Linked DNA regions of Macaca fascicularis. The protein of the gene in region 5 interacts with the protein of the main gene of each other region in a pairwise test. Links are inferred from orthologs where the notes say so. Each region holds a gene or a part of one and is shown on either strand. Other genes may lie near its edges.

Region 1 (5,379 bases), on a different chromosome or scaffold from region 5:
TAGGTAGAAAAGGCTGTACTGGTCATAGAACTGATCCTGAGAGGGTATTGCTTCCTTCCATAAAGGAAATGTCATATTTCAAGTTTTATTGGTTAAGGTTCAGCTTAGGACTGGAGCCCTTCTTTTGTCGTTCCTTCAGGACTACATGTGGAAAACACTAAGTAGAAAACTCAGTGATGAACTCTGAATAAGGCTGTGAGGATCAAACAGTCATCAGTCCCTGTGGTTTCAAGGAACACTAAAGGGCAAGGGGCCATTTAAACACTTAAAAACAGAAATAACATGCTAAGCTCTTCCATTTAGTATGTCAAAACCAGCTCAGAAGTATGTGACAATCCAGGCAATGTATTACAGTTTCTAGCCAGTCCAGTCATGATTCTCTGGCAAACTGCACCGTCATGGTTGTGATGCGTTGGGATGAGAGGTACTATATAAATGTCAGATGTTACATAAATGTCAGAAATGATTATTGTTTATTAACGGGGGCTAAACTGTTTCTAAGCAAAGCTCCAACTCCCAGCCAATGTGTTCTTAGCAGAGGTTCCAACCACCAATAACCCACAAGAAGGGAATGTTTACCCCTGGCTCTATGAAGGAGCCCAGTTGGGATCTGGGCTTGAAAACAGGGATTGAGGTGGGCCCAGTGCCACCCCTTGCTCATCAAGTGATCTCAGGCCAGCCCCCTAACCTTCTGGTGTCTGCCTTAGCTCACCTGTAAAATGGGGATAATTATAATACCTGTCCTACTTATGGTACCCGGGTTGTTGTGAGAAACAAGGGAATTCACGTGGTTGCAAATGCTTTGTAAGGTGTGAGGGGCTGCGAGGTTGGCACTGGTCGTCTAGAATCGGGCTGGATTTAGTCTATGCCTTCTCTTTGAATCCTACTCAAAGGGAGAACTTCTGAAAGGAAATTCAGCAGGGGAATGGTGACAGTGATGGTGACGGCCGGATGCTGGAGACGCCAGGCTCCTCTCGCTGCAGACCAGGCGCCCGGATCCTGCAGTCTGGCCCTGGCTCTGCCGCTTCCCAGCCCGTGAGCTTGGGCCAGTTACCGAAGAGGCTCTGGAAGTGACAGCCAAGGGCCCTTTCAGCTCTGACGCCGTGTCTAAATCAGGCTCATCACTTGGCTCTAGCTGTGATTCACCTTTCGCCTTAGGAGCAACTCTCCCTACAGCTTCTCAGACGCACGAAGCAGGGGTCCCGCGAAGGGTGGGGGCTGTGTATTTCATGAGAGTGTGCACCATAAGGAAGTTATTCTCCTGGAGGAGGTGAGATGGGGGGCGGTGAAGAAGGGGTGACAAGTGAGTGCTCTGAGAAGCCAGGATGCAGGGAACACTGAAATGAGGTCATGACTGTCGCAAGCAAAAAGGAGCTGGACATCCTCATTGGGGGAGGGAGGAGCGTCCTGCATTTCTGTTTGCAAAGCCTCTTCCCACATCCTTCAGCATCCCCCTCCCCACCTCTCCCCTAACCCCCATCCCTACACCTTTCAAACCCCATCAGGCCCTCCCCGCAGAACAGCCCACGCCCGCGCCTCCTCCGTGGTCCTGTCTGAAACCATAAGGATTGTTTCCAAGCTGACTCACACCACTAATGTCAGGGAGCCGTGTCACACGGCGCTGGGCTCTGCAAGCTGTTGCTTGCGCAGTCGCCCCCGCCGCTGCCGCTCCCCGGCGGGTGCACCAGGGTCCGCGCGGGCGGGGCGGGGTCTGGGCGGGGCCGGGGTGGGGCCTGCCCCCTCGACGCGCCGGCCCCGCCCCTCGCTCTGTCCCTCCCCAGCGGACCGCAATGATTTAGAAGTTCAGGAATCCCACGTGACGTCACCGGGGGGGTGATGTAATGCACTCTAAATAGAATGTATTGTAATCTTTGCTCAGTCCAACGTGGTCCCTTCACCCGGGCTCCGCTCTTGCCTTCTCCACACTTGTTTGGTAAGTTCCTAAAAATACGGCTCGGCCACTTCTGGGGCTTTTGCATTTAGCCACTTTTGTTGCACTTGCCGCGGGAGCCATCTCGGGAGCGTACTTGTTTGCAGGGGTTGGTTCTCGGCAGCAGCCGCGAGGTTACTTGGTCCAGTGGGCAGGTCACAGGGCAAGGAGTAGGGAAGATGCGATGCATTTTTTTCTGGAGGGTGATCTGTGTTTGTAAACATTTTGGCGGACCAGAGGGAAGTCCGGCCCCGAGTGCTGGTAGACTGTGGAATTCGGCTGTGTCCTGAGGCCACCCCAGAGACCCCGCGCCGAGTGAGTGCCGGAGCGCTCGGTGGCCGCCGCGCCGCGCGCCTGGAGGGATGCTAACGTGGAGCCGGCGCCGAGTCCGCCCGGCGTGCGTGCGTGTGTGGGAGCGCGCGAGTCCCCTGACGCGGGGACCAGTTATGAATCGGGGGTGTGTGTTTGCCTCCAGAGACCTGGCAAGGTGCGGAGTCCTCCAGAAGTGCGGTCAAGCGGCAGCGGAGACGGCGAGCCAGGAACCTCCCCCCGCGTCCCCAGCTTCCCAGCGTGGCGGCGGAATCCCCGGAGAAAGTTTGCAAACTTCCAGCGGGCGCGGCGAGGACTCCGGGTCACCTAGGGGGCGGGTGGGCGCGCGCGCAGGGGGCTCGCTCTCCCCGGTGCGGAGCTGCCGCTGCCACTTCTCCCTTGGGGCTGCTGGCTGCAGTGGGTTGGCGCGCGCCCGGGGAGGGAAGGTCGCCCTTGGAGGGCGCTTGGCTTTCGCTCCAGGCACTCCGGGCTGGAGAGCGGCGAGGCTCCGTCCGCTCCCGTCCACTCCTCCGGCCGCCTCCTGCCTCCGCTGCTTTCTCGCTGGCATCATTACCTCTTCCCGGCCGCTGCCCCAAATGACAGCTCCGGCTCGAGCCTTGGCGGCGCCCAGGCAATTCCCAGGACCCGGCGGCGGAGTCTCCCCCTGCGGCAGATTCTCGGCAGAACCACTTGAACTTTTCGTGAAGTTCTTAGAGGGGCAAGATGCGAAGGAAGGAACCAAGGAGATGTTTTCTCTCAGCAGCTGCATCCACTTCTTTGCCATAGAGTTGTTTTTAAGGGACGTCTAGTAGATAAAGCCCCAGACCTTGTCCACACTCTCATCCCCGTCCCCAACTTTCCCTGGACCGGTGCCGCCCCCACTTGATGCTTGTTCAAGGCCGGGGTCTGGAGCGGGCTACTTGTATGTTTCGTTGTCAGTCTGCAGAATGTGTTTGATTTTTATTTTTCCCTCCTTCTCTGACATGTGTCAAGGAATAAAGGCTGGATACAGGTCCATTACGTCATTCTGCAGGCCAGTAAGTGTTTGATTAACGGCTTGAGCTCCTCAAGGGTTCAGGAGCTTAGAATGCTGACAAAGCAACTCTGCTGTGCATCCCCCTACCCTCCTCACAACACACTCGTGCAATCGCCCCCTCCCTAGGCATCTTTATTGCCCTCTCTTCCCAACCCCTCCCTCTCCACCACTCCCCCGTCTACACCGTTATCACTCTAGCCCCGGCCCCGCCTTTTACAGCTTTCCCTGGAGCGAGCACAGTCCCTGGAGTGTGGGTAAAAGCTTCTGGGGTCTGAGGGGACCACTGTACCTGATCAGCGCGCAATCTGCCCTTTTGTATTATTTAAGAAAGGCACCAGCAAGCCTTCTCCTCTAGAGCGAAAATGCTTAGTCCTGATAGAAAAGGCAAATCAGGAAATGTTTCCAAGCGTTATGATAATACTCTGTCCTCGTGGTGGTGACTTAGGAAGGCAATACACCCACTGCAAACAAAGTACTTCACTTTACGTAGTGCCTGCCCTTCAGCAGAAGAGGGAAGACGAAGAAGCCAGGATGCTGACAAAATCAGGTTTAGCTGAAAGGATCAAGACTAAACGTTTCATTTCCAAAGTAAGGGAATATGAGTTGTTGAACCTAAACTTCCATACAATAAATTGGTGTGTGCGTTAGTTTCTAGCTTTTAACCTTAAGTTTCTATGTTGAAAGAGGAAGTTCAATACGTAAGTCATTGAATTGAGTCAGAACCTCCGTATCTGGCAGTTGAAATAAAGACCCTGTGTATGACTTGTTGCAAGGGATCAAAGTAAAAAGAACTCTTGGCGGGGGGGTGGGGGAGGGAAATGTGCAGAAATTAAATTATAAAAGTATTAACAGAGTTTTGGATAGAGCGGGAGAGGGAATTGGAGTGGTTCCTGATTTGGAGTTGGTGAAAACTAAATAAAGAAATATTTATATTGCCAATATGAGGAATTTCTTGAAGAACACATGTTTTCTTATAATTAGATCTACTTTCTTCAAAGTGAAAGCCATGCTGTAGGGTAGACATTTGTGAAACTCCTGTCTGGGGTCTAATTGACATACTTCCCCAAGTTTGTGGCAGGATTTAGTATTTATTCACATCTAGAGATGAAATAGTGTAACCTCCACACAATATGTGTGCATCGAAAATGTTGAACTTCTTGTTTGTGATGCATAGACTTAAAGGAAAAAAAAAATGGCCCAGTCATGGGCACTGGAAAGTGTGATTAATGATCAGTGATTTAGTGATCAGTGATTAGTGGTTTTATTCAAACTGTTACCTCTGACCAGAAGCACACATCAGAGGATTAACAGGCTCTTTAGATAAATGCTCATTAGTGGAAGGGGAAAAGCAAAGATAATAGGCATGCACCCAGGGACAACTTTCGAAGAAAATCATTCCCGTCTTCAGAATAATAAGCTCTATTAACAGAAAGCCCTTTTAATTTAAAACTTGCTTTTATCTTGTAAATCAAAGTTAGATGTAAAAGTTTGTAGTGCCATTATAACCTAAATTTTCCCATATCCACTAGATGTGGATTATCTCAGTAGCGATATTTTTTTTTTTATTTAAATAAACAATTGGACCTTTAGAGCAGCTGAACCCTGACAAGTTCTTAACTCCCAGGGTTTGAAAGTGTCCCCCCTTCTAGCATGGAGATTGCAGCTTGCTAACTAGATGGCGCACTGTTATTTGGTGTTCTCTGCTGCGTAGTGCAGGAGTAGAAACTGAGCATGTAGCTGCTTGCGAGGTGTTCTTCAACATTTACAACAAAGTTGATTCTGTGTAGGGTTGGAGGCTAGACAGTTCTACAAATTTTTAGTCACATTTTCCATGTCAGTTAAATCTAGGGAGTTCAAGGCTACTGGAAAAATTAGTCTCATTACTAAAAGAAACTTAGAGAACGAGGGAGGTACCAGAGTCTAGGAGGTACCTCTGGGTTGCAGAAGTAATTGTAAAATACCAGACCTGTTCTTTTTACTAAGAGCTAGTTTCACAGTCTTCTGGTCTGAAATACTGAGGCAAATACTCAAGACTTATTTTCTTCCTAATCTTGCTGGTGAAACAGAAGTTACTAGAAAGAAAGGAAGAAAAACCTTGATTTGG
Region 2 (4,753 bases), on a different chromosome or scaffold from region 5:
AAAAAATTCCAGGAGCGTCTGTTCCCTCCAAATTTCTTGGCATGGGTTGGAGGTCCTTTGTAACCAACCATCTGCCTCTTTGACCCAGTTACAAGTTATTGAAGGTTGGCTCATGTCTGCTTCATCTCCATCACTGGCACAGGGCCTAGCACACAGTCAGTCTCAATAAATGCTCAGGGAATGAATGGATTAATGAGAAGCCAAATGTCAGTAGAGGATTTCTACTTGTACAGAGAAAAGAGGGAGAGAAGCTCCCTACTGGGGTGGCCCAAGAAAGTCTTGAGGTAGAAATTGGGAGACAGTGCCAGGGGGACACACAAGGAACCTGCCTCAGGTCCCTTCTCAGGACAGAAGCCTGCCAAGGAGGGTGGGGGCTGACTGCAGAAAGCCCAAAATGGCAAGGAGAGGAGTCAAGGTCTTAGTCTGTGGGCATGGGAGCCATGGAAGGTGTGAGCCGGAGGGGAGAGGATGAAGACTGTGGAGTGCTGCACGGTTAGTGAGAAGGAGAACTGAGACCTGGAAGGCGGGAGACCTGGGGGACCAAGAGAGGAAACCTGCCTGAATGCAGGTGTTGTGAGGGGAGAGAAGGCCCAATTATGGGGGAGTGTCACGAGGGGAAGGAACCTGCAGCCCCACCCTGTGTGTGGCAGGGGAGGGGGCAGCTGTGGCTGAGGCAGGGCCTTGCCCTGGACCCAGTCGGAGGAAGCCCTCTGTCCCGCAGTCCCCGCCATGGGGAAGACCAACAGCAAGCTGGCCCCCGAGGTGCTGGAGGACCTGGTTCAGAACACTGAGTTCAGCGAGCAGGAGCTGAAGCAGTGGTACAAGGGCTTTCTGAAGGACTGCCCCAGCGGCATCCTCAACCTGGAGGAGTTCCAGCAGCTCTACATCAAGGTGGGCGGCCGGCACCTGGGGTGGCGGGAACCAGGTACCCGGGGTGGGAGAGGCAGGGCACCCTGGGGTGAGCGCAGGCGAGGCACCCGGGGTGGGAGGAGGCGAGGCAACCAGGGTGGGAGGGGAGGCGAGGCACCTGGGGTGCGGGGGAGGTGAGGCACCCGGAGTGGGAGGAGGCGAGGCACCCGGGGTGCAGGGGAGGTTCCCTGGGGTGGCGGCGGGCTGGGCGGAGCTGTTGCTGCGCCCTAACCCGCCGCACTCCCCTCAGTTCTTCCCCTACGGCGACGCCTCCAAGTTCGCGCAGCACGCTTTCCGCACCTTCGACAAGAACGGCGACGGCACCATCGACTTCCGGGAGTTCATCTGCGCCCTGTCGGTCACCTCCCGCGGCAGCTTCGAGCAGAAGCTCAACTGGGCCTTTGAGATGTACGACCTGGACGGCGACGGGCGCATCACGCGCCTGGAGATGCTGGAGATCATCGAGGTGCGGGGCCGCGTGGGCGCTGCTATCCCCGAGGCCAGCGCTTCGCCGCCCCCGCCCCTGCCTCCGCGCTGCTCTCGGTCCTCGGGGCTTTCCCGCTGCTTCCAAGCCTGCGATCCAGCCTCCTACCACCCCGCGGGGGACCGCAGGCCCGGGCTAAATGCTTTACCCGACACTCGACGGGGGGTGGTGGTTACTGTCCCAAACCCCATTTGGCAGAGGAGGAAACGGTCGCGGGTGGTGGTTCCTGAAACCAATCCAGGGAGTCTGACCTCATAGCAGATGTTTTTAACTCATTCTGTCAACAGGCAGGGATTGAGGGCCTGCCAGTTCCTGCTTTCATGGGGCATTCCTTCTAGTAAGAAATTTAAAAAAAAATAAATGAAGGAAGACATGCGGGGTCAGGCCTTAGGTGCTATGAGGAAGATACATTAAGCAAAGTGCGGGGAGAGAGCATGATGGAGAAGTGACTTTGTAAAAGGTGGAAAGTTAGCAGCAGCCTGAACGGGGTGAGGCCGTTACTGCTAGATGCCTGGGGGAGAGCGTTCCATGCTGAAGGGCAATTAAGGCAGGTCGGCCTTTCTCTGCAGCGTTCAAGGAGGGGCCAGGAGGCCCGGTGGTGGGAGAGCCACGAGAGGGAGAGAGTGACAGGAAGGTGGTCATACGGGGAGCCAGGAGCCCCATCAGTCAGGTCTCCTAGTTAGGAAACTTCCATGAAGTTGGGTTTCTGGCATGTTTCATCTACATAAATATTATTTAGTCTAAATAAAAAATGAGTTGGGGGCTGGGTGCGGTGGCTCACTCCTGTAGTCCTAGCACTTTGGGAGGCTGAGGCCGGTGGATTACCTGAGGTCATGAGTTTGAGACCAACCTGGTCAACGTGGTGAAACTCCATCTGTACTAAAAATACAAAAATTAGCCGGACGTGTTGGTGCGCTCCTGTAATCCCAGCTACTCGGGAGGCTGAGGCAGGAGAATCGCTTGAACCCGGGAGGCAGAGGTTGTGGTGAACCGAGATCATGCCATTGCACTCCAGCCTGGGCAACAAGATCGAAACTCTGTCAAAAAAAAAAAAAAAAAGGAAAAAGAAAAGAAAAAAGAGTTGCTCATTAAATATCCATATCCAGTCTTAATGACCACATATACCTTCCATTATCCTAACCACCCCCCAGTGTTCTCCTTGCCAGATCCCTTTCCTTCACCCCCTGCTTCTCAGGGCCCCTTGTAGGTGTTTGCACCTCCCCCCTTCTCAGGGCCCCTTGTGGGTGTTCACACCTCCCTCCTCCTTCCCTCACCAGGCGATCTACAAGATGGTGGGCACCGTGATCATGATGCGCATGAACCAGGACGGGCTCACGCCCCAGCAGCGTGTGGACAAGATCTTCAAGAAGATGGACCAGGATAAGGACGACCAGATTACACTGGAGGAGTTCAAGGAGGCAGCCAAGAGTGACCCATCCATTGTGTTGCTGCTGCAGTGTGACATGCAGAAGTAGAAGCTGGTGAGGGGCAGGGTCCCTGGCCAGAAGGAGCATGGCCACCTCCCAACCTGATGACCTTTCTGGCTGGCCTCCCAGGAGGAGGGACACTCCACCCCCCTCTCTGGCCCACCCAGTCCTCTGCCCAAGCCCCTCCTCCCCTCCATCAGGATCCCTGAGGGACCACCTTACCCTGCAAAAGAGACAGGTCCTCCGGTATCCTGTCTTCTAGCCCCACCTCACACTTGGCACAGAACCAGCGTCCATTGGGCATAGGGGAGTTGGCTTTTGCCCCAGGAGCTGAGGTTAAGGAGTTGGGGGCTTGGGGTTCTGGTTCAAAATTCTCTTGATCCTGGGATTATGCTTTATAGAATGTGGTCCCACCGGCCTGTCACAGGGCCAAATTGGGTCTGTCCACTCCTGAGGCTCCAGATCCCATAAAGGTGGTCTCTTCCCCATTCCTTCTACTCTACCTGGCCCTTCCAGCCCCAGCCTTTGGAGCGTTCATTCAGTCCTTTCTTCAGCTAGTGATTATTGAGCACCTGTTCGGTGCTAAGGATATGGTCGTTTACAAGACACATCTTGTGCCCTCTGGAAGCTCATAGGGTTGTGAGGCAAACTTCCAGCTGTCAGGGTCTCAGCTGAGCAGAGGGTGCTGGAAAGCTGGTTAGTCTGGGAGGAGCTATTTCATCTTCCAGCTCAGCTCCACACAAAGCTGCAGAAGGACGAAATGAAAAGCATTTGGAAGTTGAGCCACGTGAGTGAAAGTTTTAAGAAAAATGAAATTTATGTAATACTTATTTTTTTAGTACCCTTTAAAGGAGCTACAGTCATTTTATTATTTCAGGAGGTTTAAATATACTCTATATTACTTGGTTTCTTATAAAATGATTAAATGAATAGAGAAAATATTAATTTTTAAGGGGAAAAAAACTGAGAAAAAAGGGAGAAAAGACCATGAAATTTACCAGATAACACTTTTTCAGACTAAGTCCTGAGCTGCCACGCTCAGCAGTTTTTGCTGCTTCAGCTCTTCCTTTTTATTACCTTTTTCAATTCGACAAGCAACTTTCTATTACATACTTACTCAGGTTGGATGCTGACTTCAGAGACAGGAAAAAACAAGGTTTGCAAAGAGTGAGACAAGTGTATATCCCGAATCTTGGTAGTTCTTTTTTTTTTTTTTTTTTTTTTTTTTTTTGAGACGGAGTCTCACGCTGTTGCCCAGGCTGGAGTGCAGTGGCGCGATCTCGGCTCACTGCAAGCTCCGCCTCCCGGGTTCCCGCCATTCTCCTGCCTCAGCCTCCTGAGTAGCTGGGACTACAGGCGCCCGCCACCGCGCCCGGCTAATTTTTTGTATTTTTAGTAGAGACGGGGTTTCACTGTGGTCTCGATCTCCTGACCTTGTGATCCGCCCGCCTCGGCCTCCCAAAGTGCTGGGATTACAGGCTTGAGCCACCGCGCCCGGCCCCGAATCTTGGTAGTTCGTTTCTGAATTTGGTTTAGTTTCAGAACCGGACTTGTTCCTTCACTGCCACAGAATCAGAAGGAGCTCGAAGAAAAGGCTCACCTGGCCACTGTTTAGGCACCCAGACAGAATTTATGGACCAAATGCCTAAAAATGTGCCAGGCATGCTCCGTTCGAAAGGCTTTTTCTAACCCCAAATCTTAGATCTGCCAGGTAGTTCATCATCTTCCAAGTGCGCTGGCTCTGCTTTCCAATGCCTGCTTTCCAATTTTGGATCCATGAGCTATACAGCTGCATGCTTCGACTGCCAGAAAAATTAATCTTGCTTCTTCATCAGGTCTTTCACTTGACTTTCTCCTGTACTTGTGATCAGAAATTAGCCTTGACGTGCAGTGACAGTTGATTTCCTCTTGAACTGCTGGTGAAAACAGTCTA
Region 3 (4,799 bases), on a different chromosome or scaffold from region 5:
CCACTCTGTGTTCTTAGGTTTGCTGCAAGAGCCCATCCTATCTTGGGGAAGAAGTCGTGGACATAAGTGTTTGTTTATACAAACACCACGGGAAGACAGTTGTGCCTCCATCTGAGGTCAGGGGAAGAGCAGGGTATGTGTTCAAGGCGGAGGGTAACCCATGGGTTTCTGCCTCTCCGTTAGGGTGCTCTCCTGCTACCCTGATGGCTGGAGGAGGGAGGCTCAGCAGCCTGGGCTCCCACTCAGACCCCGGTGACCTTTCCTTTCTGCACACGCTGGGGCACGTATGGAATTCTTTTCCAGGAAGGCCCTTCTGTCACTTGAGGAGAGGAGGGGGCGGTGGGGTAGGAGTTGGGGGGACTGCAAGGCTTTCCCCATTCCTGGTGCTTCCAGAAGGACCCTTCCTGTTTGCCTACCTCGCCCCTGGGAGTGAAGTGACATGCTAGATTGGTAAATTTGGGAGGAATTGCCAGGCATCTTCGCCCAGCCTTGCCCTCCCTTTTTCTCTTGGAAGGAGCTGCACGAGAGAGGATTTATTTCCATCTGCTCCTCCAAGGGCAGCACCTGGCCTGCCTGGCTCTGCACGCCTGTGGGTTTTTCAGCACGCCCTTGGACTCTCACGCTAAGCCATAGCCTCCAGTGTCTCTCTCTCTTTTGACCTCTGTCCTCTTTTATTTTCCAACTTATTCCAAACCTGACAGGAGGGGGCCTCCCCCAACAGAAACACCAACAAACATATCTTCTCCTCAGCCACAATTCCCTCCCCACCAGAACCTAGTTCTTGTTTAACGAAACCCACTTTATCTCCATGAAGGAAAAACATAGGGATGTATTTATTAATTTATTTTTAATTTGTAGAGCTGATCCCCGCCAAGCTTTGTGTTCTGGCCATTTTTTATGAGTCCTGCCCTGTCCACAGTAGTTAAAATGGTGATGACTTCCTCCAGCTTGGCAAGGCATGACAGAAGGGAGACTGGTGTGGTCTCCGAACACTTTGCAATCTCTCAGAGGTCGGCTCTGGGAGGCACCAGCTGGAGGTAGCAGGGGCAGACCTGGAGCTCGGCATGATATCTGGCTTTCTTCAGTTAACTGTCTGCATGCTTCAGAGTTGGTTCCTAGGAGAACTTGCCTGTGGGCCCAGATTTTTCTCTTCGAATCAGAGGCCAGAGGTTAGTTCCCAAGAGCATCAGGTAAGCTAAATCTAAGGGTAGGAGACTCTAGGTGAGGTCTGCTCTGCTCTAGACAGGGAGGGGTGCAGGTGGCCATAATTCTGGGGTCCAGTAGCCAAGCACTGAGCTGAAGCACCCCATCCCCTGGTTGGGCTAAGATTTCTCTGAGAGTTGTGAACTTACAGTCCCTCTTCCTCCTTCCTTCTATGGCTCCCACCCTCCTCCCCCAACCCTAACCTTTGAAAATTTAATTTAATTTTAAACACAAGGTTTTCCCTTAGAAGGGCACAGGTCTTTAGCAGTGAGTTGTGCTCTGAGAATGCTAACTCAATCAGGGCTCTGTGATCCTACAGCAGCAAAGAACCAATGGAGAGAGCCTAATTCATTGCCTACGATCAACACAGAGTTAGGGCTTTATCCTGTGACATCTGATCTTCTCCCATCCTTTAGCCCTATCCTAAAGAGGTGTCCGGACCTAGAGCACAGCACAAACCCATTGTGCTTTTGAGTACCAGTAAAATCTGCAGTTTAATATCAACAAGTTAATTAAAATAATCCCATGCTTGTTTAGTCACAACTATTCATTGTAAATCAAAGCAAATAAAGGGACATAGGATGTTTCAAAATGGAATGGCACCTTTGTGGAGGAAACAAAGCAAGCAGATTGGCCCATACCACACAAACCCAGATTCTCAGGCAGCTCTACCTGGGCGGGGGATAAAAAGAGACAGAGGCTCTCTCTATGGCGAAGGCTTCTATTGTTCTGTAGATCAGCGCCAGGTGGGGGCCCAAGTGCATGTGCACATGGTTGACAAGAATTGCCAGGGCCTCTGAACAGATCGGGTGAGCTGATAATAACAGCAAGAGCTACAGAGCCTGGCCCTGAGCTCAGCGCTTTTCACTCAAGTATAACATTTAAATAGCGTTGCCAGATCTGGCAAATTAAATACAGGACGCCCCGTTAACTTTGAATTTCAGATAAACAGCAAGTGACTTTTTTAGTTTGGCATACTAATCCTAACAATTGTTTGCTGTTTATCTGAAATTCAAGGATAATTGGGCCTTCTGTATTCTCTCTGGCAATTTAAGATCCAAAATCCTTCTGTTAAGTTTGAAATTCAACTCTCTTTTTCACTTTGTTAGGTTTGAATTGTGGGTGGCACCATCCGGGTGGGAACCTGCTGGGCACCTTACTCCCTCACCACTAGCCCTGGCACCCCAGTGACTGTGGGAGCCCACTGTCTCTGGGAAACACAACATCTCAGTGCATGCACAGGAGACTCCAACAAAACCCCTTCGGCAGGCTGGAGTGAAGGCTGTCAGCACCTGGGTAGAACAACAGAATAACAACCCTCTCCCCATTTTGATGACCTGGACTGCAGGGCCCCAGCCTGCTGTGGCCTAAGCCTGTCCCAAGGATGGGTCTGTGCTAACAATGGTTTCTTGGGTCCTTTCATTCTTGCCCCACAAGATCCATTCTATTTTCTTGGAGGTAGAAGTTGACCTACAAGGAGGATAGAAAAGACTAGAAATAAGGCATTTCCCACAATTCTGGGCTCAGTTCTCCTGTGGCCACCTGGTCCTCTCCCCTCCTACCCACTCGGGAGGCTTGGAGGATGAGCCACTCGCATGAAGGACCTCAAGTGGCACTTCCCAGTATGGACTCCCCAGTCCTTCCAGCAACCCTCATCTGAGCTAAGCAGTGCAGCCCCCGCCTCCTACCATCTCTATTGGTGTCCATCTGGCGGAAGATCTTTTCTGTTCTTTTCTCTGGGGTTGACTCATCTTCAGGCATTTTCATTACGGAGGAAACCATCTTATAGATTGCCTGGGGACAGAAGCAACATGGTGGTAAGACAGAAAAACGGTATGGCACACAATCATTAAACCTCCCAAATGCGGGTTGAAGGGAATGTCCCCATCCGCATTGGACCTAGTCCTATCCCTGCTGATTGGTATAAGATGTGGCGGCACAGGTAGAAGAAGCTAGGCCCACAAAGCTTGTTCTCCTCCCGTGAGGACCTTCAGGAGGGACAACCAGCAGGAAGACCCTGTGTCTCCAGTGTTTTTTGTTTGTTTTTTGAGATAGGGTCTCTCATTCTGTCACCCAGGCTGGAGTGTAGTGGCACACTCCCAGCTCACTGCAGGCTCCATCTCACAGGCTCAAGCAATCCTCCCACCTCAGCCTCCCAAGCAGCTGGGACTAGAGGTACTCCTTACCACACACGGCTAATTTTAAAAAATTATATATTTATATATTTATTTATTTATTTATTTATTTTTGGAGAGACGAGGTCTCACTATGTTGCCCAAGCTGGTCTCAAACCCCTGGGCTCAAGCTTCTCCTACCTCTGTCTCCCAAAGTGCTGGGATTACAGACATAAGCTACCTCTCCTAGCCATCTCCATTGTTCATGTGCACACAAATCCCCTGGGAATCCTGTTAAAATGCAGAATCTGATTGGGTAGTGCTGGGGGAAGGGGCGGGGCTGAGAGTCTGTATTTTTAATGAGCTCCGGTGTGATGCTGATGCTGCTGTTCTAAAGACCCTGCTTTGAGAGGTAAGGTCCCCACTTTGAGGAGCAAGGCTGCAGATGACATTCCTCAGGCTAGAGAGGTAAGTGGATGCCTATCACGGACCCTTGAGAGTCCACAATGACCCCTCAAGGATGACAGACATGTGACACTCTGTAAGTGTGTGCCATATGTTCCCCCCAGGCAGACTTCCAGTCCATTCCAGTGCTTTTCCCCCTGTGTGTGACAATGGTCTCACGTTCCTTCTCAGCAAGCTCCCAGGTAGTTCTGAGATGGAAACCACCTGCCATCAGAGCTCTGAATTATTACACAACCTCAGGCCTGAGCTAAACTAGGTACAGCTATGACATCTGATGGGCGAAAGAGGATTCTGTGGAGTTTTGTAAGCACTACTGAAACTATCACCCCACTGCCTGTGACCTCCACATGGGACTCAGCAAGGGCCCAAAGGCCTCTGTGGTCGAAGGTAGTTTTTATTTGGGAAGAGGAATGAAAAGTCATTGTTTTTATCCCCAGATCATGACTTTCCTAATCAGAGTCACTTTGGGCATCTTAGTCTTGGGGACAAGTTTTAGAAAAAATAAATTTTGACAGGGAGTAGGCAGAAAATTTCAGAAAGTTCTGGAGCTCTAGGGGCAGCCAGGCAGGTGGAGAGGACAGAGAAAGGAAAGCAGCTGTGGGGAGTCACCTCCAAATGGGAAAGGCGGGAGCAGAAAAAGACACTGAAGGTTCAACCGAGTTGCTTTACAGTCTTGCTCAGGACCAACCCTGCCAGAAGTCCCTTACGCGTTCTGGATAAAGTAGGGTGAGTACTCTAATCTCAGTCCAAATAAGAATGAAAACGGACTCACCCAGTGTTCTGGCCCTTAGGCTGATCCCATCCCTCAGGGACGCCTCTGGACAGGCCCCCTGAGTCTGTCTCAAACCCACCCAACGTGGTTACTGAACTCCAGAGCTGACTCCGCGGCGACTTGTTCTGGGAGGTAAAGCACAGAGTTAGGGTGCTGTCTAGGATTATGAGTGTCCCTGGGGTAAGCTGAGCCATTTCATTCCCAAGAAATGCTCACCAAAGTGTGTTCTGGAGACAAGAGGGGAG
Region 4 (5,281 bases), on a different chromosome or scaffold from region 5:
TTTCTATCTTAAGTTTCTCACCTTTTAAAATAGAGATTTCTAGTTTTCAAAATGTATACAAGGATGCAAAAAAAATCTTAAAGCAGTTTAATTTTCCATTTACAATCATCAACTTACCCCTTCTCATTTTTTCTCTTAAATCTATGGAATCAGTTTGGATTCCCATCAGATTTTGTTTCATTCTTTGAATGCTTCCTTTTATTCTAAATTTGGTAATATGGTAAGAGTGTGAAAGGGTGAACTGGAATTGCTCCTCAATGCATTTCATGGCCATCTGAATTAACTGATTTTTTTCCACTTGGTTCTTTTCTGCTGCCTGAAGAACATCAGGATTGTAGGCAACATCAATGACCGTGTAAGCATCTGTGTGTGTAAATGAAAGGGTATGAAATGAAGATAAATTGTTGCACTAATGATACTGTCAGGCAATATATTAAACCATATTCCTGATAAAGCTAGAGAATATTCCTGTATTTTTCAGAGGTAATCACAGTAGTGCTACAGCAATTATGACATTTCCTGGCACTTTTACATGGATTAAAACCGCATCTTATTACAAAAGTTAAACTATTAAATTTGCATAAAGGTACACTAATTGTAATTCTGTTATCACCAAATAAAGAATTTTACTTGAAATGCTCTCAACCAAGTAAAATCTTGTCCATTCCTAATAAAATTTGTACAATGTGCTTTCTCTCCCTTAATTATTTGTACCTGATGTCTCAGTTGTATCTTCTGGTTTGCCAACAGTTAGAGGTACTGGATGAGTGGCTGATTGGGGAGGTGGGATCCTTGTCCACTGACACAGGTTGATAAAAAGTATTTTTTCTTTTGGTTTCTGGAAAGCAAATAATTTTGCACATCTCAAAACCTAGTTTAAAACCATTTAAGGCCAGGCATGGTGGCTCATGCCTGTAATCCCAGCACTTTGTGGGGGCCGAGGTGCCTGGATCACCTGAGGTCAGGAATTTGAGACCAGCCTGGCCAACATGGTGAAACCCCATTTCTACTAAAAATACAAAAGTCCGCCAGGTGTGGTGGCAGATAATCCCAGCTACTCAGGAGGCTGAGGCAGGAGAATCGCTTGAACCCAGGAGGCAGAGATTGCAGTGAGCCAAGATTGTGCCATTGCACTGCAGCCTAGGTATTAAAATTGTGTTTGATTATACTGTTGTTACTTGATTTCCCCAAGGTTGCTGGCTTTTAATCAGGAAACCAGACCAGGGTGGTGGCTCACGTATGTTACCCTAGTACTTTGAGAGGCCGAGGTAGGAGGGTCGCTTGAGGCCTAGGAGTTCGAGACTAGCCTGGGAAACATAGGGAGATCCTGTCTCTACAAAAATAATTTAAAAATTAGCCAGGTGTGGTGGTGCCCACCTGTGATCCCAGCTACTTGGGAGGCTGAGGTGGAAGGATCGTTTGGGCTGCAATGAACTGTGATTGTGAGCTGTGATTGTGCCACTGCACTCCAGCTTCAGCGACAGCAAAACCCTATCTCAAAAAAAAAAAAAAAAAAAAAAAAAAAAGTCCGCTGGGCGCGGTGGCTCATGCCTATAATCACAGCACTTTGGGAGGCTGAGGCGGGTAGATCACCTGAGGTCAGGAGTTCAAGACCAGCCTGGCCAACATGGTGAAACCCTGTCTTTACTAATAATACAAAAATTAGCCAGGCATGGTAGTGCACACCTGTAATCCCAGCTACTTGGGAGCCTGAGGCAGGAGAATCGCTTGAACCCAGGAGGCGGAGGTTGCAGTGAGCCAAGACCATGCCATTGCACTCCAGCCTGGGTGACAGAGCAAAACTCTGTCTCAAAAAAAAAAAAAAAAAAAAAAGCAATGCCTAAGTGCAAAGTATTCTGTGGTTACTCTGGGATCATTTTATTCAAGACCTCCCCATCCCTGGCACCAACTCGACATACCAGAATCCTGGTCTGTAGACAAAGCTGTGGTTGTGGGTCAGCACAGAGCTGTTTCCCTTCTTTCAGCTGCTGTTGAATAAACTTCTCATAGCCCTCAGGGTCACTTTCAGCTAGATCATCTAGGAGGTTCCAAAATTGAGTAACTTGGGTGAGCAGACCCTTTGAGGATGTCTCCATGACTGATGAGTGGTGAATAATTTTCTTAAGCCTGTGGAAAGACATGACTTTGGGAAGAAAACTGTCTGTGTAATTTTTTTTTTTTTTTTTTTTTTTTTTTTTTTTTGAGACGGAGTCTCGCTCTGCCGCCCAGGCTGGAGTGCAGTGGCCGGATCTCAGCTCACTGCAAGCTCCGCCTCCCGGGTTTATGCCATTCTCCTGCCTCAGCCTCCCAAGTAGCTGGGACTACAGGCGCCCGCCGCCTCGCCCGGCTAGTTTTTTGTATTTTTCAGTAGAGACGGGGTTTCCCCGTGTTAGCCAGGATGGTCTGGATCTCCTGACCTTGTGATCCGCCCGTCTCGGCCTCCCAAAGTGCTGGGATTACAGGCTTGAGCCACCACGCCCGGCCCTGTGTAATTGTTGATTCATTTCTGCTTTGGGGAGGCGGAATGGGCCAGGAATTGTTTTGGTGAAGTTAGGACTTAGCATTTGTGTCTAAAAGATTGTGGATCAGCAGCACCACTTTATGTTTTCCTTATTCTTTAATTATCTAGTACCTCTTCCTAAATTCTCACATTGTCCTCTCAGATAAGACTTTACTTCTACTTGGACCCTGACAAGTCAGAGCAATCATTTTAAATCTGGGTTTCCTGATCTTCTTGTTCCAACACCTCACTGACTGGTGGCTCCCCAGTTCTGAAATTGCCAGAGGTGTGTATGGGGTGAGGGCCACATGAGACTTCCTTAATCCTCATTATAGTTTAGTAATTCAAAGCATGGACTTGCGAGCCAGAATGCCTAGATTCCGGTCTTAGTTCTATCTCTCACTAGCTGTATGACCTTGAGCAATTAATGTGTGTGTGTGTGTGTGTGTGTGTGTGTGTGTGTGTGTGTGTGTATACACATACACATACATATACATATATATATATTCCTCTTACTCTGTTCAAAATGAAGACGATAATACCTATATTATCATAGGGTTATTGCGAGGATTAAGGAAGCTAATAGAGAGGCTGGGACACTTCTCTACGTCTTCAGAGCCTCTTCTCCCATTGGAGAGGTGTCCCACAGCATCTTTAGAACGAGGCAAAAAGGTTTAGATTCTTCAACTACTGTGTAAGGGTTACGCTAAATGGGAAGCTTAACTAACGGGTAATCATTCCATAGGTCTGCAAACCCACCTCTTCTCTGTTCTAACGGGTAGTCATTCTATAGGCTGGCAAACCCACCTCTTCTCTCAGCTCCTTGACAAACCGCGACGCCTGTTACCAGGGTAACCAGCCTGGGTACAACATCTAATTGGGTCCGGGGAGTTTCAGGCAGAAAAGTCTCCTCATATCTAGTTCCGGAATGTCCCCCTTCTGGTACCAGGCTTGCTTTTCAGTTGGGCCCGATCCACTTCTCTTCCAGGAAAGCGCCCGCCTCCCTTCTGCACCCGTCAACCTCTGGAGTGTCCTGAAAACCCTCCCTTCTGGGAGTCTCTGGGCTGCCTGTTGGTGGGACTATTTCTCAGGAGCACCACTTCCGGCCTGAGAAGGAAGTCTCCTCCTTTTTCTCCCAAACCGCTTCTTCCCCCCTACCCCCCGCCACGCGAGGCAGCGGCGCACGGTATGGGTGTGTTTGTGTGTATTTGTGTGGGGAGGGCGTTTGGAGGGGAGGTTACCGGGAGCTCCGAGGCCGCTGGGGGACAGGGATCCCGGTGACAAAGATGGGGATATTTCCTCTGTCTTCCACTTGGAAACCTCAACCCCCGCTTCAGGCCCCCTAGATACTTCCTGGCGCCCAACCGAAGGCCATAGCCATCCAAAGCGTTCCCATCCTTTCTGGGGAGTGAAACTTACCCCCGGGGTTCGTCCCAGAGGAGCGTGAGGGGGGAATGCCCGGGTCAACCGGGCTGTCCGAATTCCGCGCCGGCTCAGTCTCCGGCCTCAGTCCGCGAGAGAGATCTGCCTGTCGATCTGGGCTGGGGGAAAGGCGGCAGTGGCCTGGGCCACAGGTGAGGGCAGATTAACCAGTGGGAAGGCTGCGTTTTCACGAAGGACTCGGGTGAAGCTGCAGAGCTGCCTTTGAGCCCTGACTCCTTGGCTTCCTGGGTCGGAGGAGATCTTGTAATGGAGTGGTTCTTCGTCTCACTAACAAGATGCCTGATTTCCTCAGGATCAAGGGGTGAGTGAGCGTTGGGGTGGTTGCACAAAGCCCGTGCTAGCTACACACGAAAATATTCTTGTCATCTAGTTTTTGGAAGCTTCCGTACCAAGTAGGAAATAAAATGCTCCCAAATGGAGAAGTTTAGGACATCTTTGCATTTGATGTTTTGAGTCATCAGTTTCTGTTACTGTTGACACCTGTGGTTCCTGATACTCTCAAATCTACGTATTTGCTTCACTGCAAACTAATATTGGGATTGGAGGTTTGATTTTTAATCTAGACATTGATATACATCATTTGCCTGGGACTATGTGGCTTGGGGCATGACAAGTTTAAGGGAACTTCATCTACAAAATAGGGATGGAGATATTTGCCTCATATAAAAAATAGTTATGAGGATTAAATAAAATGGTGCTCATGAAAGCACTTAATTTTATGCAGTCTTGTGCATTTTCAAAGAACTTTAATGTACATTATCTCCTTTCATCTCACATTAGTGTGTTTAGGCATTTCCCTCTTTTAATGGTAAAGGGAAAACTATTATTTAGGATCTTTGACTTCTAGTTCAGTGATCTTTCCTTTACCTCATGCTTCTTTATAAAATTTAAGAAAAGATAAAGTAATAAAATAAATTATTACTAAACGTTATTTGTTGATTCATTTCAGATTGAAGAATGTCCCGGATTCCACTGGGGAAAGTTCTCCTGAGGAATGTCATCCGGCACACAGATGCTCACAATAAGGTGGGAGGTACAACCTAGTTACTCCTCAGTGCTTACTGAAAGTAAGCAGTGTGCCAAGCATTATTTTGGCACAACTGGGAGATACAAAGAATATTCTTGTCATCTAGTCTTTGAAAGCTTTTGTACAAAGTAGGAAATAAAATGATGAATACAATAGATAATTATAATACAGTTTGATAAGTACTGTATAACAGAGATATTTGCAAAGTGCTTTGGAGCACTAAGGAGGAAATAATAAAATCTACCCCGGGGAATTAGAAAAGATTTTACAGAATTAGTGGTATTTGAGCTGCTGACATTTAAACTGGTTCT
Region 5 (4,799 bases):
CACATTAGGAAAATAACCATTTTACAATTCATTTGAGATAGTTCTTATTCCTGGTTTCCCTGGTAGAGGTGGTCACCATATAAATAGCCCTTTAATGGTAGTAGTGATGAACCCTGTCAGATCCCTATTGCCATCTCATGTCTCTGGCCTGGAAATCATCCAGTAGGTGGTGCTGAAGCTCCACACGACATACTTCTTCAGAAATCAAATGATGTCCCTTTTCAAGCCAGGAAAAATATCATTTAAGAATTATCAGTTCTGAACAAAACAAGTTCATCGGACCAGTCTTGCTTGTCATACCATCTAGATGATTCCATTTTCAATCCTATTACTGAAGCAGCTGTCTTGAGCCATCTGCTTATATCAGACAAAAACAAAGAAAAGTTTTAGAGGAAAAGCCAACTGGCAGTGCTGAATCTGTACAGAGAATGAGAAAATGTTCCTGAAGGTGCCTATACACATGTTTAAGAATCAGTGATTTAAACTACCCATTTGCTTTCACAAAGGAATTCTAATTTACTCAAAAGAAAATTTCCACATAGGGATTCAGAGAACATTATATCATCAGTTAGTCTTGTAGACTGATTTAGAAACTGGGTATGTTAACTATAAAGATCCAAGGTAAAATAAAAACCATTTCATCACCATAGTTTTTAATGAAGAAACTTGTTTAAAATTGTAAAGGAAAAAATGGGAATGGGACGGCAAAATCTTAGCAGCAAAGTGGTTAAACAAATTGAAAATATTAATGCACAAACATTAAAATATTAAAGCATATATGTTGCATATAAAATACAGTACAGAACCAGGAGTTGCACTATACTGATTAGTGCTTAACAGAAGAAATGATTAAATTTGTTCCTCCCAGAAGTATATACACAGTTCATTTCCACAGCATTTTCCTATAGAGCCAGCAAGTTATTTTCTTCAGTAATTCACACCTTGATCAAACCTGAATTATAAACTTAGCACTTACAAATATGAAAATTCATTCACAAGGAAAAACAGTATTTCCATTTCACCAATAAAAATTTTGAAAGTTAACAGTCTATTCTAGGAAACCAAGCTTAGCTGAAAACTTCAGGGATGAAGATCATCTGTTGTAGCAGCATTCAAATATATAAACAGTAAAAATAAGACTTAAAACTGCTGCTACAGTGTCATGTTTTGGATTTAGTTCATCCAATTGATTTTTAGTACAAAACTAGAAATACCCTCTTCTTCATAACATCTATAGTTATCAATATATTTTTCTTCTTTTCAATGTGAAATAATACTTCAAGATGATCTATATACACAATGTTGTCAGTTCAAGCTGTCATATAAATATAAATGCTTTCTTAAAAAAAGTATTTTACAGACAGATAGTGTTATATACATTGTTCCATTTGATCTGGGGCAAAAGAAAAAAGCTAACACAAGCTTAAGTGTGATATATAAAAAGAACGATACATAAATGATGTTTAAAAACCTGCATAGAAAATGAGCTTCAAATGGTAGTGTGATTTTAATTTTTATCACCTCTGAAACTTCAAGCCATTAAAAAAAAGGCACACTTCTCAACTTTATCCCTCTAAGGGAATGTTCTTAAAGAACCCTTTCCTTGGTTAGAGTTTTAATGTAACACTTAAGAAAACAACAACAAAAACAAAAACAGACAATCTGACTTCAAGGTACTTTAAGGTTTGTTGGAACATTTATCCAACTATTTTGTAAATTAAACATCCAGTAATATAATGCTCTGCAAAAGAAATACATTTATATGTACAAGATACTTCATTTACAATGTTGGATTAAATACTTTCCTGGGATAGTTTAGCACACATTTTAACATAAAATAATTTTGCTTTTGGCCAGTTTAAATAAAAATAAAATGTAACTGATAAAAAGTTATCATTGTTATGTAAATAATAAGCACTGAGGATTAAGCTAAAAAATTAGTAACACAGCTGAACATATTCTGGTTTAGCAGAATGATAAATGAAGATCTCAAGAGGAAGCTTTTACACTGACTATCCAGTCAAACTTTCTGCCTTGTAAAACATTTGTAAATGCAATATAATTTTTTGAAGGAGGAAACTCTGAAAGAAAACAACTTGCTGGTTGAATACCACAAAAACAACTAAAAAACTTCACTTTTTTTCTATGTTTGTTTACTCAGTCTTTTTATATAAAAATAAGTGTTACGTTCCCATCAAAACATTAGACAATTACATCTGTGCTTTAACAAAAAAGTTGGTCACTCAAGGCTATTAGAGTATTTTTAAGGATTTTAGATTACCAGAATGTACAGATATAACTCAATATAAATTGTAGCCAAAGAGAAATAAGGATGACAATATCAAATCATTCACATGGAATAAAAACATTATTAACTAGATGAGTTAAATATTCAAAATATATGGAATGTGACAGTAGATATACATATATATATATCTACTTCAGAACTAGGAAGGGGAAGAAAAGTTTAATATGTAATAATTCGTACCTTACATTTAGTTAAATATAAACATTTGTTATTTATACATAAAACTGCTTTCAAAAAACAACTAATAAATGATTTAGTTGCACTTGTTTCACTTCTTGTAATTGCCAAGTGTTAACTTTTCTTAAATTGAAATCAACTGTCCCCTAGTGCACTTTTATTTTTAGTTCATGTCCTAATAAATTCAAACCTTTAAAAGTCCCATCACCTAATGCATAAATATACAAAAATGCCAAAAAATTAATCCCTTTTAGTTGGATCATATTTTATGCTGACTTTTTATAGCCAAATAACCAGAAATGGTTTCCTTCTGCAAATACTCTACAACCTGTAACAAAATACGCCATGCACTCAAGGGAAAAGTTAGGCATGGCGTGAAACGCCAAGAACTGATGAGTTCTGCTTCCTCCATGTGTGGCCCCAGTGATACCAGGCAAGATTCCATATTGCTTGCCAAAAGCTTCCACAAATCCAAGTTAGCTAATTCCTGGAAACAAAGATTTTAAGCTCATTTTGGCACTGGACCATTTCATCCAGCAGCTTTATGTTTCCCACCACAGCAACCACATGCCTCACCACAGCGATGGCACATTCTCAAAGGGACGTAGCAGCACATACATGGTACAATGAAAGACAAAGCTACCAGGGCTAACCATCGCAAGCAGAACTTGTCGTCGCTAGTGTCACACGAACAGGGATCAGAAAAATCTCCCTCTGAGTCTGACATACAATGATACAACATGCTCTCTGCACAGAGCATGCAACTAACTTGATATATGCATCTTTTAATAGGGTCTGGAGCATCCTGACATTTTCCCCTGACATTTTCTTCATGATTAAACCTTTCCTGGCAGTATACGCAGCGAGAACGTTCACCGTCCTCTTTTCTTCGTTTTGACTTCTTAATTTTTAATGAGGAAGGCTGCGTCTTAAATACCACAGAGTCTTTAGGTGAACTTAACTTAGTCTCCTCCCCACAAGAGTACAGATAGTCTGATTTTTTACTGTCTGGTTTAGAAAACTGAATACTGGAATCAGCATCATCTCTTTCCAAGTCATTTTTCCACATGTCAGGATGTCTGTAGTCTGCATAGCGACGTATTAAGATATCTCGAGGGTTTATTCTGACAATCTCATCCTCATCTTGAAAGCTGACATGTCTGATTGATTTTAAAGGGACCTAAAAAAGAAACAGATAAAAACTGCAATGAGGGCTATGATGCTTAATTTTATGTGTCACCTTGGTGGGGCCACAGTGTCCAGATATTTGTTCAAATATTATTCTGGATGTTTCCATGATATGTTTTTGGGATGAGATCTACATTTCAATTGGTGGACTCTGAGCAAAGCACAGTACCTTCTGTGATGTAGGTGGACCTCATGAAATCCACTGAAGGCTTTACTAGAACTAAGGCTGAGCTCCCCCTGAGCAAGAAGAAATTTTGCCAGCAGGGTGCCTCTGGACTCAGACTACAACTATTTCTTGGGTCTCCAGGACAGCCTACCCTGCAGGTTTTGGATCTGTACCTCTACTATTGCATGAGCCATTTCCTTAAAATAAAATCCGTCCGCCCGTCCCTCTGTCAGTCCCTCCGTCCGTCCGTCCGTCCGTCCCTCCCTCCATCCATCCCTCCGTCCGCCCGCCCATCTGTCTGTCCGTACGCCTGCCCATCTGTCTGTCCATATGCCCGCCCGTCCGTCCATCCGTCCGTCCGTCCATCCGTCCGTCCGTCCATCCGTCCATCCATCCATCTATCCTGTTGGTTCTACTCTGGAAAACCTTGACTAATACTGATTTTAGTGTCAGTATTAGTCAAAGTGCGGTGTCACTCTAACAAATACCTAAAAATGTGGAAATGGTTTTGGAACTGGGTAATGGGTAGAGGTGGAAAGTATTTTGAGATGCATGTTAGAAAGAGCCTTGAAGAGACTGTTGCTTCTAAATATGGACTTTAAAAGTGACTCTGGTAAGATCTCAGACGGAAATGAAGAACATGTTTTGGACACTGGAAGGAAGGCAACCTGTGTTATAAAGCAGCAAATAACCTGGCTAAATTGTGTTCTTGTGTTTTTTGGAAAGTAGAACTTGTGAGTGATTAACCTAAATATTTAGCAGATATTTCTAAGCAAAGTGTTGAAGGTGTAGTCTAGTTTTTCCTTGCTGCTTATAGTAACATTCGAGAGGAGAGAGAGAAATTGAAAGAAGAAACTGTTAAGCAAAAAGGAAGAGAACATGAAGATTTGATACGTTCTACGTCTATCCATTTGCAATAAAATGAGAAAGCATGTTCAGAGAGAATATCTAGGGTGTGGT
Region 6 (5,396 bases), about 44 Mb from region 5:
ACTGCTTGCCAAGAGTACAGGCATTAGAATGTAATAGACTCGCCTGCGTTCAAATCTGTCCTGCCACTCATCACCTGGTTGAACTCCCTGTGTCTCATTTTGGTTCACCTGTGAAGTAAAGACAGCAGCATGTACCCCACAGCACTGTAGGTAAGGTCAAATGAGTCAGTGCTCATGAAGGATGGTCCTAAATCAATGCCTAATGCTGAAAGCACTCAGGAAGAGGGAGCTGCTGCTATTACTGAGGGTTTCCAGGGTTCAGGGCAAGGCCCCTCGTAATGACAGATGCACACTCAGGGATTGGCTGCCAGATCCAGATGTGGAGAACAGAGACAACTGGCTGATACACAGGCAGAACCTTGCCCCACCAGCAAAAAGCTCTTATTCCCTTAGCTAACAGGTCACCATAATTTTTTTAAGATGCTGCAAGAAAAACAGACTGGATGGATGTACCCTTATAAAACTCAGTGTCTAGGTTAAGCTGGTAAGATTTGAAACACGTTTCTTTTCCCATCCCTATTCTACAGTTCGCCTGTTTGCTTCTCCATCCCTGCCCCAGCATAACTCCCACACGCCCTTCAGAAAGCAACTCAAATAGCACCTCCTCAGGGAAGCCCCACACTGATCTGCCAGACTAGGCCAGTTCCCCTGGTACAGCCTCCCATAGAACTTAACCCTCTTTGCCGTTATATTTATGTGCATACAGTTGTTTATTTAATGTGTCCCATTAGATCCCCAGAGCCCAGCACAGTGCTTGAAGCATAGAATATTCTAAATAAATTTATTGGAAATAAATTCCAGGCTGGGCATAGTGGCCCACCAGCCTGAGCAACATAGGAAGACTCCATCTCTACAAAAAAAATAAAATTTAGCCAGGCATAGTGGCACACTCCTGTAGTCTCAGCTACTAAGGAGGCTGAGGTGGGAGAACTCCTTGAACCCAGGAGGTTGAGGCCATAGTAAGCCATGATCACGCCACTGCACTCTAGCCTGGGCGACAGATGAGATCCTGTCTCAAAAAAAGAAAGAGAAAAGAAAAGAAAAAAAGCAATGAAAATGAATTCCAAGTGTTTGGGAAAGTGATTTCACTCTTTGTATATTGAAAAGTAAATAGGAAATTAGGAGGAGACAGAGAGTAATAAAACTACATCCAAGTTTGTCCCGGGCAACATTACATAGCTCTTAACTATCAAAGACATATGGCAGTGTCTCATGTGGTTTTACTTTTTTTGAGGGGGGAGAAATGTTGTGGGAGTGTGGGGGAAGGTGTGCAGCAGAATCCTCCTCAAACCCTATGCCCCACCCTCCAGCCCTACGCAGAGCCTCCCTCTGCTTCCCACAGGCCCAGCCCCTCCTTGCTGACAGCTGGCCAAGTCCCAAGGATCCCCAGGTATCTCGATTCATATTTCCCAGCAGGAGTCAAGGCACCTACGGTGGAGACCACAGGACCCAACTATTATTAAGGACACATCCAACCACCATGGCCACATGCTCAGAATCTGCATATGTGAAATAGCAGAGCTGGAGTGTTGTTAGGGGCCATCTCTAGTCCAACACCCTTCCATCCACTTTATAGACGGGGACACTGAGTCCCAGATATGGAAAGGGGCTTATCCAAAGTCACACTGCTATGCAAGGATTTAACTGGACAGGTGTCCCTGCATGTGAATGCCCAATCTTCTAACAGCCTAACTCAGAGAAAAGAAGGGACTGCATCAAATGTATTGAGTAGATGATGGGGCATCGCCCAGATAAGCTCCTCAACCCTGGGCCGAGGCGTTCATTCCCACAGCTGGCATAGGGTTGTCTGTGACAACTCACAACTGAGTCCCTCTCCAGAAACTACCTTCAGCCAAAGACAGCTGCCTCGCCCAAGGTTATGCCTGGGTTCCAGGGGCAGCCCACAAGCAATGACTGGTCACTGCAGGGATACAAAACCCCACAGGATCCCCTGGATCTGCTGAGGCCGGTGTTGCAACTGCATCACAGCCCAACTTCTCCATCTGTCTGATTCCGCCTCCCTCACCCCACACTGGTGTTGTTCCCAGAGCACACACCAATGAACTTTGTATGTGCAAATCTCTGTCTCACCATCTGTTACCAGGGAAACGCAACCAAAGGCAGTGCAGCCAGGGTAGGAAGTGGTAAGACCTCCCCGTGAATCAGAGTGAATAAAATGGTTTCACCAAACACTGAGCACCTAGTAAACACCAGGTCAAGTCCCAGCCTCAAAGATCCCCAGTGGAAGTAAATGCATCCATGTCGTCTGCCTCCAAAGGGAGACCACCTGAATGCTCACCCCACTTTCTGCTACACAAAGAGCCAGGGCTACTTTGGGCCCTCAAGTACTCTTTTCTTCATCCTCAAGCCTGTATATCTATGATGGTTGCTGTTTCAGAACAGGGGAGCAGCCTGCTTAGGAGAGCTGACATGTCCTCTGAATATGTACATGCCATTTGGGTCATTTCACATACTTTATCTTAGTTATTGTTTCTGCCTTCCTGTGAGGTAAGAATTTATGACCACCGTTTTGCAAAGGAGGAAAGTGAGCCTTTGAAAACCTTTTCCCAGATAAAGGAGCCTGTTACCTTCAGAGCCAAGATTCCATCCCAGGTGGCCACGCCCCATGGCCCAGGTTCTTATTCCCTATACCCCACTGCCTTTCTTCAGACTTCAGCAGATGCCTTAATGCAGCCTAAGCAAGCGGATGCCAGGGTTCCAGCCATGTCTTTCTGGAGCTAGAAAAGTCAGAATATGCCTTTGACTTGCTTACTTCTCCTTTTTAAGGAAAACTCTTATGCCAAAGTTGCAACGGACCTGAAGTTTCGCCAGTGTTAACTTTAAAAGTTGGGCAGAAGGGTTAAAACGTTTTGCTCTGATGCCTGTTTATGTTTCCAGAGCAAAGGAAGAAGATCGTAATAAGAAATGCTCTCATCTATTGGGCTGTACCTGCAGGAAGGTAGGGGGTCTGGATGGAGGCCCCTCCCAGTTCTCAGATCTTCTCCAGAGACCTGCGCTCCGTTCACTTCTCCCGGAGCTGAGCAGCTCCCTCTTCCGCTCTGCTTCTGCTGAAACTGGAGCGGAGCTGGTGGGGACCCTGACAGCTACAGCGTTTTAGACACTGATGCCTCTGCCCCATGAAGAGGAAGCCAGGGCACACGGAAAGCCACTGCCCTGGCCAGGGTTCACTCTCATCCCTGGGGGGTCCTGCAATTGCCCTTCCTGAACTCTCTGCCAAGCACATGGTAAGCATTCAGCCAGCCTCTGCAAAGACAGGCATTGTGTCCTACTGCAGCACACATGTGTGCCCCCACACACTTACATGTGAGCACACACACCACTGACACACTCACTCATATACTACACAGTGTGGCCAAAACCATGCTTCCACTCCCCTGGGAGGTCGTCAGGAAGGGTCCACCCCTGCATTCCAACCTCCCCTGAGTCCCCTGGGATAGGAGAAGCAGCTCCACTCACCGTTCTGCCTTCTCGGGAAGACTCTCTTCTGCAAACTCATCACACAGGGTTTGAAGGAGGGAGAGAGAGTTGTCAAAAGTTCCTCCAAACCAGGATCAGGGGTCCATGGGAGGGTCGATGGCAGCTTCTCGACTGGGAGTATTTGAATATGAGTTAAAACTACAAAGTAACTCCTCGTTACAACTGTTTTTTTCCTCGGCAGGGAGGGAGAAAAAAAAATCCCTTTCCCTCTGCCAGAAAATCTTTAACGTTTCACAACGGTCGTTTCCAACTCCTGCCCTCCTTGAGAAGCAAATGTGTATAAAGGCAATGTTATTTCACTGAATCAAGCCCTCAGATCATAAGCCTTTTCCTGTACCACAAACAGAAATGTAAAACCTCAAACTTTCCTTTGGACTTGGAGTCTGTTGTGAGAGGGCAGAACACAACCCTTTCTGAGGTCTAATGTATGGAAAATGTGCCGCACTGTTTAGATCATCGCAAGCACTTGAATCTCTGCCCCTCTCTTCTACTGTGTTTTTTTTTTTTTTTTTTTTTTTTAATGAGTTCTGGTGTGTTTATGTAATTGCATGGGACAAACACAACACCTAAAATCCTTGCCCAAAGTTGAAGTGATTCATTTTCTCCTTCACACACACCACACACAAACACAGTGCCTGTTTAATCCAAGTGAAAACGCCTTTCATAAAATCTGCAAAGAGCTTGGGCAGAGAGACCCATGGTGAATGCAGCCTGTGTCCTGAGAAGGGCAACTGGGCTCGGGGGAAGGTGGAGGCAGACTTTAATCAACACAAACAGAAGGCGCTCTGACTCCTGCCATGCCAGGACAAAAAAGGGATAAATGAAAAAGGGATTTGGGCTCTGGGTAATGGTGCTGTAAAATGTTTTCAGCCTACTCTATCCAATTTCCTCTGCTTGCCTTCTCATACCAGGACATTTTATTTTTGGACTTGGACAAGATGTACTATTATTTAAAATGACCAATTTGACCGCTGGGTTAAATAAATCCTTGGATCACCGTTGGAAAGACCAAAAGAATATACAGTGAGTGGGCAAACAGAACTGAAACCTGAGAAAGTAATATCCACCCCTCTAGTGGAAGAGTGTGATGATTTTCTGGACATAGCAATGTGAGACTGAATGGAAGGGAAAGCCTGCTCTGTTTGATAGAGAGAGAAAAACTTACCAGGAAAGCAAGTGAGACAGATCCTGGTCTAGTCCCTGAGTTATCTGTCACCAGCCAAGGGCCCCAGGTGTTTTTGGGATGGACCCCCTGCCGTGGTGCCTCTGCTACCACTCAGGGCTCCAAAGAATCATGGCCACTGGCATCACCATCACTCTGCTCAATCCACTGCCGAGACACTGTGACTTTCCTATTCCCTCCGCACCCCTCACCCCCATGCAAACATGCTTTAGATAATCATTTCTCAAGGCAGTGCTACAGGTTGCCAGAGAAACTCTGCTATCAGCACCTGGAGTCAGAACAGCTCCCTGAGAGCCATCATCACCCCTGGGTGAAGGTGGGGACCCCACACTGGCACTTCGTGGCCCTTCCTTACTCTGATTATTGAATGAACTGCCCAGACTCTGAAACTGCAGGATGCTGCAGCTGTGCCAGGAGCACTGTGAGGGCCAGAAACTGGCCTTGCATGTTAGTGGTACCCAACGGCAGCAACGACAGGCAATAGGCTAGACAAATTCTGGGAATACTCTGCAGATATTAAGATGATGTGAGGCCGGACACCATGGCCCACGTCTGTAATCTCCGCACTTTAGGAGGCCGAGGTGGGTGGATCACCTGAGGTCAGGAGTTCAAGACCAGCCTGGCCAACATGGCGAAACCCCGTTTCTACTAAAAATACATAAATTAGCTTAGTGTGGTGGCGTGTGCCTGTAATCCCAGCAGCGTGGGAGGCTGA

Evidence for each region.
Region 1: the proteins of SPRED1 (region 5) and CREB5 interact in binary tests that used the Homo sapiens proteins (3 or more experiments, as listed by UniProt). The link is inferred for Macaca fascicularis from reciprocal best matches to the Homo sapiens genes SPRED1 and CREB5.
Region 2: the proteins of SPRED1 (region 5) and HPCAL4 interact in binary tests that used the Homo sapiens proteins (3 or more experiments, as listed by UniProt). The link is inferred for Macaca fascicularis from reciprocal best matches to the Homo sapiens genes SPRED1 and HPCAL4.
Region 3: the proteins of SPRED1 (region 5) and NCALD interact in binary tests that used the Homo sapiens proteins (3 or more experiments, as listed by UniProt). The link is inferred for Macaca fascicularis from reciprocal best matches to the Homo sapiens genes SPRED1 and NCALD.
Region 4: the proteins of SPRED1 (region 5) and PIH1D2 interact in binary tests that used the Homo sapiens proteins (3 or more experiments, as listed by UniProt). The link is inferred for Macaca fascicularis from reciprocal best matches to the Homo sapiens genes SPRED1 and PIH1D2.
Region 6: the proteins of SPRED1 (region 5) and IL16 interact in binary tests that used the Homo sapiens proteins (3 or more experiments, as listed by UniProt). The link is inferred for Macaca fascicularis from reciprocal best matches to the Homo sapiens genes SPRED1 and IL16.

Annotation. Positions count from the first base shown.
Region 1 is NC_088377.1:101,860,108-101,865,486, reverse strand, and holds the start of CREB5 (cyclic AMP-responsive element-binding protein 5), read left to right. Parts: upstream 1-1,877; 5' UTR 1,878-1,933; intron 1,934-5,379. UniProt on the Homo sapiens protein: Binds to the cAMP response element and activates transcription.
Region 2 is NC_088375.1:195,215,502-195,220,254, forward strand, and holds the end of HPCAL4 (hippocalcin-like protein 4), read left to right. Parts: intron 1-721; 5' UTR 722-729; coding exon 730-891; intron 892-1,159; coding exon 1,160-1,375; intron 1,376-2,670; coding exon 2,671-2,868; 3' UTR 2,869-3,630; downstream 3,631-4,753. UniProt on the Homo sapiens protein: May be involved in the calcium-dependent regulation of rhodopsin phosphorylation.
Region 3 is NC_088382.1:111,293,704-111,298,502, forward strand, and holds part of NCALD (neurocalcin-delta), read right to left. Parts: intron 2,998-4,799; coding exon 2,892-2,997; intron 1-2,891. UniProt on the Homo sapiens protein: May be involved in the calcium-dependent regulation of rhodopsin phosphorylation. Binds three calcium ions.
Region 4 is NC_088388.1:111,002,854-111,008,134, forward strand, and holds the start of PIH1D2 (PIH1 domain-containing protein 2), read right to left. Parts: upstream 3,531-5,281; 5' UTR 3,308-3,530; exon of another isoform or gene 3,260-3,307; intron 2,128-3,259; 5' UTR 2,097-2,127; coding exon 1,920-2,096; intron 839-1,919; coding exon 715-838; intron 364-714; coding exon 118-363; intron 1-117. Other genes in the region: uncharacterized protein NKAPD1, read left to right, coding at 4,901-4,969.
Region 5 is NC_088381.1:14,857,569-14,862,367, reverse strand, and holds the end of SPRED1 (sprouty-related, EVH1 domain-containing protein 1), read right to left. Parts: intron 3,666-4,799; coding exon 3,015-3,665; 3' UTR 637-3,014; downstream 1-636. UniProt on the Homo sapiens protein: Tyrosine kinase substrate that inhibits growth-factor-mediated activation of MAP kinase. Negatively regulates hematopoiesis of bone marrow.
Region 6 is NC_088381.1:58,648,351-58,653,746, reverse strand, and holds the start of IL16 (pro-interleukin-16), read right to left. Parts: upstream 3,641-5,396; 5' UTR 3,518-3,640; coding exon 3,478-3,517; intron 1-3,477. UniProt on the Homo sapiens protein: Interleukin-16 stimulates a migratory response in CD4+ lymphocytes, monocytes, and eosinophils. Primes CD4+ T-cells for IL-2 and IL-15 responsiveness. Also induces T-lymphocyte expression of interleukin 2 receptor. Ligand for CD4.